3 linked regions of the Macaca mulatta genome follow. The protein of the gene in region 1 binds, or shares a complex with, the protein of each later gene. Links are inferred from orthologs where the notes say so. Each region holds a gene or a part of one and is shown in the gene's direction. Other genes may lie near its edges. The genes, in order: SIAH1, CACYBP and USP19.

Region 1 (2,796 bases):
GTCCATCTTCTATTTTAGCATTTATTATTCCATGTAGTCTATCCAAAGACGATTAAGGGAGTTCCAAATGTTTTCCGGAATATTTTGAAAAGAGAGCTTATCCAGTGTACAGATCCTAATAAAGTGCACATTCAGTGTAATTTTATTTTTTAGTATGTTACTTTTTAAATTCTATTTATTTTTCTTTCTCTTTTGCTCAGTAAATTTTGCATGAAACTTTAAAAGTACTTCTGGCATGTAAACATTATTTGTAAAATAAGTCATGGTTATAATTATTTTTCTCCTGCCTCCTTATGTATTTATTTCAGAAATGAGCCGTCAGACTGCTACAGCATTACCTACTGGTACCTCGAAGTGTCCACCATCCCAGAGGGTACCTGCCCTGACTGGCACAACTGCATCCAACAATGACTTGGCGAGTCTTTTTGAGTGTCCAGTCTGCTTTGACTATGTGTTACCACCCATTCTTCAATGTCAGAGTGGCCATCTTGTTTGTAGCAACTGTCGCCCAAAGCTCACATGTTGTCCAACTTGCCGGGGCCCTTTGGGATCCATTCGCAACTTGGCTATGGAGAAAGTGGCTAATTCAGTACTTTTCCCCTGTAAATATGCCTCTTCTGGATGTGAAATAACTCTGCCACACACAGAAAAAGCAGACCACGAAGAGCTCTGTGAGTTTAGGCCTTATTCCTGTCCGTGCCCTGGTGCTTCCTGTAAATGGCAAGGCTCTTTGGATGCTGTAATGCCCCATCTGATGCATCAGCATAAGTCCATTACAACCCTACAGGGAGAGGATATAGTTTTCCTTGCTACAGACATTAATCTTCCTGGTGCTGTTGACTGGGTGATGATGCAGTCCTGTTTTGGCTTTCACTTCATGTTAGTCTTGGAGAAACAGGAAAAATACGATGGTCACCAGCAGTTCTTTGCAATTGTACAGCTGATAGGAACACGCAAGCAAGCTGAAAATTTTGCTTACCGACTTGAGCTAAATGGTCACAGGCGACGATTGACTTGGGAAGCGACTCCTCGATCTATTCATGAAGGAATTGCAACAGCCATTATGAATAGCGACTGCCTAGTCTTTGACACCAGCATTGCACAGCTTTTTGCAGAAAATGGCAATTTAGGCATCAATGTAACTATTTCCATGTGTTGAAATGGCAATCAAACATTTTCTGGCCAGTGTTTAAAACTTCAGTTTCACAGAAAATAAGGCACCCATCTGCCTGCCAACCTAAAATTCTTTTGGTAGGTGGAAGCTAGACACATGAAGGTAAATGAAAGGAAAGGCTGTTAAATACAGGAAACAGTTGCATGTAGTAACACTAATATATTTAAAAATAAGTCAACAGTAAACCACTGAAAAAATATATGTATATACACCCAAGATGGGCATCTTTTGTATTAAGAAAGGAAGCATTGTAAAATAATTCTGAGTTTTGTGTTTGTTGTAGATTGATTGTATTGTTGAAAAATAGTTTTTTTGTTTTGTTTTTGCGTGGGAGTGTGTGCGTGCGTGGGTGTGTGCGTGTTTGGGTTTTTCTCCTTTAACTGACAAGCCATCTTGAGTGGTCATGGGCCACTGCTTTTCCCCTTTGTGAGTCAATACATAGTGCTGCTGTGTGCTTTTTTGTGTGTGTATTTGCTAATTTTTATTAATTTTAGTTTTTCATTAAATAAATTTGACTTTCCTTTCTGTAATTCAGGTTTTTCTTCACTTTTTTTGTACCATTTTAAAGTTAGTGTCTTTTGATATGCATACTTGTTATGGTAAAAGTTTGTAACATGTGTTCAATATTTTCTTTTCCCCCATTAATCAGTTCATTAGAAATATTTTAAAATCAGCTACTTTGTGAAGCTATGAGTTCCAGAAAGTAAAGGTGACATCGGAAAAATGATCAAAAGCTATTTAAAGCATCTGTAAGATGGTCTCTCTCTTTCTCTCTTCTACGGATGAGTCACACCTTTGAGCTTAATCTTTGAAAGGTTAGAGAATAAATTGATTTTTATAAGTACTGCAAATCAGGCTTTTGTTTCCTTTTTCAAATATCTTGGATAAATCACATGTTTAAAATTTGTTCTTGTATTTATTGGTTTTGCAAAAGAAGGCATCGTCATGCACAGTATTTGTAATTAAAAGCAAATCATTTGTTTAAAAAGGCAGTTTGCAAAAAAATGTTTTTGGTCTTTTATAATTCTCATTAAAAGAATTTCTGGCAAATTAAAAAAATCTTACTGTGTCTGCTTTAGCTCTAAGTTTGATAAAATCCAAAGTTATTTTCCTGTTTCATTCCGTACTTTAATTATATAGCAGAAAGCTGTGTGTTGTCATTTTTAAGTGTGGTAGAGTTATACTCTAAATCACAGCAAATAACTGGGTATATGGCTTCTGGATTACAGTCTTTCCCATGCTCTGCCCCTCTTGCCCACATTTTGATTCTTACAACTGTCAGGAGAATGACTAAAATGCTGACCACTTTTCACCTCTTTAAAAAAGCACAATGAAATAATAAATTTACTATTTCATAGCCTAGTGGTTAAGAGCCTTGGTTCTGCAGCCAGACTTCAGGCACCTAAGTGCCAGTCTCGGCTCTACCCCACTAACCAGCTGTGTGACCTTGGGCCCCAGTTTCCTAATGTGTAAAGTGGGGTTAAATTATGGTAGCTACTTAAAAAGTTTTAATGGGGTACAGGTATGTTACCTGAAACAGTGCTTTGTTCATATCAGCATCCAGTGAATGTTAGCTACCATTATGCCTTTAGTACCATGTAGTTAACTGTTGCTAATTACTT
Region 2 (3,656 bases), on another chromosome or scaffold:
TAATTTGAATTACTTTTCTGATTCTGCTAAAGCATTCCTATTTCAGTCAAAAAGCAAAACCTCGTACTTAGACTTACTATATTTCATTTTACATTTCAATATTTTATGAATTAGGAGTTGTAGAATCAGCGTTTTTTTTTTTGAAACCATTAAAATGTATTATTTTGAACGGAAACATCTTGGTTCTATGCTCAAAAGACGAGTTTGCAAGAGTTTTTGTCATAGTATTATGAGCTGTTCTTGGAAGGGGAGAGTGTGGACAAGAGGGTTGGGCAGAGTTGAACTTTTTTTTTTTTGATACTGAGTTTTGCTCTTGTTGCCCAGGCTGGAGTGCAATGGCGCGATCTCGGGTCACCGCAACCTCTGCCTCCCGGGTTCAAGCAATTCTCCTGCCTCAGCTTCCTGAGTATCTGGGATTACAGGCACATGCCACCATGGCCGCCTAATTTTTGAATTTTAAGTAGAGACGGGCTTTCGCCATGTTGGTCAGGTTGGTCTCGAACCCCTAACTTCAAGTGATCCACCCGTTTGGCCTCCCAAAGTGCAGGGACTACAGGTGTGAGCCACTGCACCCGGCGAGAGTTGAACTTTTTATACCATGTCATCTGTTGTAGATAGGCAAAACTAGGGCATCTGAGTTAAATGAGATAATAAAAGACTAGTAGTAAAAGAAAAGAATTAGTTCTGTTATTGCATTTTATAAGACTATTAAGAAACAAAGGCTTTCAAACGCTGTTGTGCGTCTGATATTCTGAGTTATAAAGCACTAAAAGACTTTTAAATTGAGCTTTTGATATAATCAAGCTGTGACACAAGATTTTTTTGGTCAAGTTGCTAGTATCAAGCTAGAGTGTAAAGTTACTGTAAGAAGTGAAACAGCTGTTTGGAAAGATCTTGTGTATTTGCAGTATGTCAGAGGGTAATTGGGGGAAAAAGACTTAGGCTCAATAATTTTCTAACATTGTCTTTAACTCTTGAATTTCATAAAATGTTGCCTCTATCTCTCGAAAGTAAAAAGAAGTAGACTTTAATAGATGATGGATTGGCATGAGAAGAAAATGAGAACGTGGTGGCTTTTTCAAAAGATAATTTCCAAGAGTATGTTGCATTTTGGGTCTTTTGTCACCTTCTATGCAACCAACTCCTACACTTCTAACTGTAAGACTGACCCAGCTTCAGAGCAAGACTTTTTCTCAAAAGCAGAATTTTTTTTTTTTTTTTTTTAATATTTTGTCTTAAAAATTCGGACTCTCTTTATTTGAGGTATTTGAGGTGGGAAGATCAGTGAAGACCAATCAGTGACAGAAAATGGAGCATTCATTACCTCAGTAAAGTTTGCTGTGTAGCATTTTACCATGGTCACTGTGTGTTCTCTCATCTCTTAAATTTTTAAAAGTGTCTAACATCTGATGACACTCGGATTAGATGTTAAAGGAAATCTCTGAATCCCTTGTCAAAAAAAAGTCTTTGTTTTACTGTTTAAATCGCAGATGTTTCTTGTAAATATTTTAAAGCAAATATAAACTGGAAAATTTGGGTTTGATTACCTTATTTATTGTTTGTTCAAGATTGTTCAAAGTTTTCCTTTTGGGAAAAAAAGGAAGCTTGAGTTAATTACAGTTAATAAGCTGGAGGGAAGAACTGAAGTTGCAACTCAATCCTAGAAAATTTAGATGAACCTCTTAATTTTTAGTGCTTATTTCAGTAAGTTGAAATGAGTGATAAGCACAATATCAAGCTATTTCCTTATTGATCATAGCTAACTTATTTTTTGTCTTAACACAGCTACAGAAAGATCTAGAAGAGGTAAAGGTGTTGCTGGAAAAGGCTACTAGGAAAAGAGTACGTGATGCCCTTACAGCTGAAAAGTCCAAGATTGAGACAGAAATCAAGAACAAGATGCAACAGAAATCACAGAAGAAAGCAGAACTTCTTGATAATGAAAAACCAGCTGCTGTGGTTGCTCCCATTACAACGGGCTATACAGTGAAAATCAGTAATTATGGTATGACTTGCTTCCCTGTGGCCAGTTTTGCCTCCGAGCAACCTATTCCTCATAGTGATCTAACAAATTCATCTTTAAATGAGTTTTGAGGCTGTGTTTTCGGTGGCTTGGAGGAAGACCCATCAGTTTTTATTTAATAAAACTTTCTTTAGATAGAAATAGGAAAGGATACATTCTAGAAGCTGTTAACAAGAATAAGGTGATTTACTACAAAGATGAGGAGTAGCAACAAGGAAGGAACTTATTCTGAAATTATTCAGTATATATGAGGCACCGCTTTGGTGGTGGTGGTGGTTTTTAATCATGTTTTATGTTTCACTCTGCCAACCACTACAATTAACTGAGGAGAGGAATCCAGTTAAATTCAGGAAATATTTTTGAGCACCTAATGTATATCACTATTGTGCTTGGACTTACGGATACACAACAGTGACTAAGACCCAATCCTTTCTCATGGTGTGGTTGGGACATAGACGTATAACTCATAGCATAACAATGTATTAGCAAAACAGTATTAGCAAAAACTAATACTGTTTTCCTTCAGTGGTGTATATAGTGTTTTTGTTTTGGCGGCAGTGCAACTTCAGTGAGAGTGATGAGCTCTCATTGGAGCAAGGACAGTCTGGTTTTTCTTTGTGCTAATAATGTCTAGCACATAATAGGTAACATAGCTGAGGAAATAATTCTGGAGGTGAGGAACAGGGAGAATTAGATGAGTGTGAAGGGTGAGCTGTACGTTCAGCAAAAGGAAGGGAACAGCATGAGCAGAGGACATGAATAGAGACTTGGAAGGCATGATCTATTTTGAGTATTGTTATAGTGAAAAGCATGTGTATGTCGTGCTTAAGTGATGTACTATATAGTACTACATGAAATTGCACCGTGTACTCAGTTGAGTATGGGAAACTGGTCTGAAGGTGTTTAGGATTATGGCATTTTAACCAGGAACATAGATTTGTGTTGAGGGAGAAACTTGTCAAACCGGAGGATGGACTGACTGGGAAGAAACTATTAATAAATGAAGTTCTCTGGAACCCTCTAGGGCATTTTTTTGATCAACACTATGTTTCTTTTTAATTTTCGTGGGTACATAGTAGGTGTATGTATTTATGGGGTACATGAGATGTTTTGATACAGGCATGCAGTGTGAAAACATGTCATGGAGGATGGGGCATGTTTCTATTCCGTAGGACTAAGTGAGGAAGAGTCAGGGATATGTATGTATATATTCTTGATAAACAGAAGATGCTTTTTGTGAAGTTTTTTATTTTCTACAAATACGATGGTATTTTGTGAAGCGTATATGTCTTGTATGTTGACAGAGTTCTTCTAGGTTAGAGACTTGCTGGTAGGTTGATAATACATACTGAAATGGCATTTAATAGATACCAGTAGGTTTGTCAGATTTGGATGAAGAATTGGAGTCGTTTACATTCTGTTTTGCCCTGGAAAGGAATTAAGAGCGCTAGGATTCCATTTGTTATACTACTTAGAGAAGTAGAAATGGTTATGGAATTAGACAGTATTGATACTTAGCCATCCAGCTTAGTGGAGAACTACCGATATTTAGATGTAGGACAAAATTGTTTCCATAAAAGCAGTAAATGAACTAATCTTTTTTTTTTTTTTTGAGACAGAGTCTCGCTCTGTA
Region 3 (2,880 bases), on another chromosome or scaffold:
CACCCTGGACCAGTGCCTCAACCTCTTCACACGGCCTGAGGTGCTGGCACCCGAGGAGGCCTGGTGAGAACAGAGCAGCAAGCAGATAAGGGGGCAGGACGGAGAAGAGAGAGACTTGCTGGTCCTGACCCAACCTCTGTTCCCACCAGGTACTGCCCACAGTGCAAACAGCACCGTGAGGCCTCCAAGCAGCTGTTGCTATGGCGCCTGCCAAATGTTCTCATCGTGCAGCTCAAGCGCTTCTCCTTTCGTAGTTTTATCTGGCGTGACAAGATCAATGACTTGGTGGAGTTCCCTGTTCGGTAAGCAATGGACCTTGGTAACTGTGCGTGGGGTGTGAGGACCAAGGTGGGCATCCTGAGCACCTGCTGCCTGTCTCACCCCTCCCTGACTGGACCTGACCTGCAGGAACCTGGACCTGAGCAAGTTCTGCATTGGTCAGAAAGAGGAGCAGCTGCCCAGCTATGATCTGTATGCTGTCATCAACCACTATGGAGGCATGATTGGTGGCCACTACACTGCCTGTGCACGCCTGCCCAATGATCGTAGCAGTCAGCGCAGTGACGTGGGTGAGGGCACACACAGCCAGCAGGATAGATGGTAGGGGTGGTGGTGCAGACTTCGTTCACACTCTTCCCACCCTGCCGTAGGCTGGCGCTTGTTTGATGACAGCACGGTGACAACGGTAGACGAGAGCCAGGTTGTGACGCGTTATGCCTATGTACTCTTCTACCGCCGGCGGAACTCTCCTGTGGAGAGGCCCCCCAGGGCAGGTCACTCTGAGCACCACCCAGACCTAGGCCCTGCAGCTGAGGCTGCTGCCAGCCAGGTGAGGCATGTGGGCGGCTTTACAGAATAGTGGGGGACAGCTCACAGACTGCGGGGCAGGGTTGGGGATATAGCTTCCTCTCCTCCAGCCACAGGCTCCCTGAGCCTTGGGATTCATGAGAATTGCAGAGTTCCCTTAACATCAAAGCTTTATCCAGAGGCATCCCCATGCCCTGGGGACACTAACATACAGGTACACTAACATGATGCCACTGGCAAGCACATTGGCACCCAGTTGGCACAGGTCAGGCAACTGCTCTGAACCTCACTGGGCACTGTGCTATGAATGGACTATAACTGATACTCTCTAGATTTCCTCTGCACATTCCCCACATGCTAGCCCACACACCCTCACTTGTGATGTCCCTGAGTTCTATTGTGCACTCAAGACAAGGCCTATTTGGGCTGGCCATGGCTTCTGGTGGCTGTTATACTCTCTGAGGTAAGCATCTGTCTTTGCTGAGCCTTCAGGATCTTCTCTCTCTTTTAGTGACATTATGTGCCATAGGCCCAGTTGGTGGGCGTAGGCACATCTCTTTTCTGGACTGGCCGCCTCCTTTCTGGCTCCATCCTCTCTTAAGCCTTCTCTGTCAAGGATTAGAGAAGTCCCTGCAGAAGACTGGTCAGGATCTGGGGTGTGGGTGGGAAGGAACAAGGAGATTGCTCTGGGATTGGCGCCCTGTTTCCTATAAATCAGTGTCCTCTGGAGAGGCCTGGACTGAAATACTAACCAGATAACTCCCCTCCCACCTCCATGCGGAGCTGCACGTGGATTGAAAGCTGTTTAGGGTAGGCCAAAATGCTGTCAAGATTTACTTACACTTGTGCTCTTAGTCTGGACAACCCTGAGGTTGGCTGCCTGCCTTCCTCCTTGCTGCTTGATCTAGAATGCAGAGTGTTAGCCCCAGTCACCCCAGGTGGGACTATCATGGCTAAGGGTCTCAGGGACACTGGGTCCTCCCCATCCCTGGGGTGCTGATGGCCGTTTCCACATACCCTAGGCTTCCCGGATTTGGCAGGAGCTGGAGGCTGAGGAGGAGCCGGTGCCTGAGGGGCCTGGGCCCCTGGGTCCCTGGGGGCCCCAAGACTGGGTGGGCCCCCCGCCACGTGGCCCTACCACACCAGATGAGGGCTGCCTCCGGTACTTTGTCCTGGGCACCGTGGCGGCTTTGGTGGCCCTCGTGCTCAACGTGTTCTATCCTCTGGTATCCCAGAGTCGCTGGAGATGAGCTCGCCTGCAGGCAGCTGCTGTGAGCTGGCCTACCTGCCTGCCCCAGGCCATGCCTGCCTTTGTTGTGGGGAACACCTCTGGGCTTTGGGCCTCAGCTTGTGCATCTGGTGGGAGAGGATGGGGAGGCTGTGGCCCCTGCAGGGGCAGAGCATCGTAGGGTGTGTATCCATCCAGCTGTTTGTCCATTCATCCTGCTGCTCTGACCCTTGGCCTCGGGCTTGGCCTTGCCCAAGCTACTTCCTGTACTTAAAGTGTTAATAAAGCCAGACTATTCAGGCCCAATCTTGTCTCTCTGTCTGAACGCCGCTGCTGTCTGCGCCTGCCTTGGGACCCTCCCTTGGGTGCCAGGGCTCCAAGCCAGCACCCCCGGGATGCCAGGCGGCATGCTGGGCAGCCCCCAACCCCTGTCCTCGTATTCTGTTGCAGGGACTAGGCCCTGGCCAGGCCCCCGAGGTGGCCCCCACGCGGACAGCCCCTGAACGCTTCGCCCCCCCTGTGGATCGGCCAGCCCCCACCTACAGCAACATGGAGGAGGTGGATTAGCAGGTCCCTGGCTGATGGGGGGGACTGGGTTTGGGACACCCACCACAGAGGGCCAGCTCCTTGCCGCTTCTCCTTCTCTAACCCAGAGGACACTGGCTCTGTCAACGGGAAGCTGTGGGGTATGATTTGGGTGTGGCGACCTCTCAGGTTGGGACTTCTTGTTAGCTTGGACCCCTGACCAGTGGGCTTTGGCTTCTCTAGCCACCTCCAGTGCTGTGTGATTTGATTCTGTTGTACCTTCAATTCTTTCTGACCCGCATTATAAACATTATAATTTT

Evidence for each region.
Region 2: the proteins of SIAH1 (region 1) and CACYBP are in contact, whole or in part, in a crystal structure (PDB 2A25), measured with the Homo sapiens proteins. The link is inferred for Macaca mulatta from reciprocal best matches to the Homo sapiens genes SIAH1 and CACYBP. Residues at the interface, in NP_003022.3 of Homo sapiens: Leu158, Gln159, Asp162, Ile163, Val164, Phe165, Leu166, Ala167, Thr168, Val176, Asp177, Trp178, Val179, Met180, Asn276; in NP_055227.1 of Homo sapiens: Lys59, Pro60, Ala61, Ala62, Val63, Val64, Ala65, Pro66, Ile67.
Region 3: the proteins of SIAH1 (region 1) and USP19 are in contact, whole or in part, in a crystal structure (PDB 4X3G), measured with the Homo sapiens proteins. The link is inferred for Macaca mulatta from reciprocal best matches to the Homo sapiens genes SIAH1 and USP19. Residues at the interface, in NP_003022.3 of Homo sapiens: Cys130, Pro131, Thr156, Leu158, Gln159, Asp162, Ile163, Val164, Phe165, Leu166, Ala167, Thr168, Leu172, Val176, Asp177, Trp178, Val179, Met180, Asn276; in NP_006668.1 of Homo sapiens: Lys463, Pro464, Thr465, Cys466, Met467, Val468, Pro469, Pro470, Met471.

The regions. Positions count from the first base shown.
Region 1 is NC_133425.1:43,773,456-43,776,251, reverse strand, and holds the end of SIAH1 (E3 ubiquitin-protein ligase SIAH1), read left to right. Parts: intron 1-308; coding exon 309-1,159; coding exon of another isoform or gene 1,160-1,262; 3' UTR 1,263-2,218; downstream 2,219-2,796. Other genes in the region: LONP2 (lon protease homolog 2, peroxisomal), read right to left, coding at 1,143-1,262. UniProt on the Homo sapiens protein: E3 ubiquitin-protein ligase that mediates ubiquitination and subsequent proteasomal degradation of target proteins.
Region 2 is NC_133406.1:32,460,797-32,464,452, forward strand, and holds part of CACYBP (calcyclin-binding protein), read left to right. Parts: intron 1-1,785; coding exon 1,786-2,005; intron 2,006-3,656. UniProt on the Homo sapiens protein: May be involved in calcium-dependent ubiquitination and subsequent proteasomal degradation of target proteins. Probably serves as a molecular bridge in ubiquitin E3 complexes. Participates in the ubiquitin-mediated degradation of beta-catenin (CTNNB1).
Region 3 is NC_133407.1:112,545,308-112,548,187, reverse strand, and holds the end of USP19 (ubiquitin carboxyl-terminal hydrolase 19), read left to right. Parts: coding exon 1-63; intron 64-149; coding exon 150-302; intron 303-408; coding exon 409-569; intron 570-650; coding exon 651-829; intron 830-1,829; coding exon 1,830-2,057; 3' UTR 2,058-2,341; downstream 2,342-2,880. UniProt on the Homo sapiens protein: Deubiquitinating enzyme that regulates the degradation of various proteins by removing ubiquitin moieties, thereby preventing their proteasomal degradation. Stabilizes RNF123, which promotes CDKN1B degradation and contributes to cell proliferation.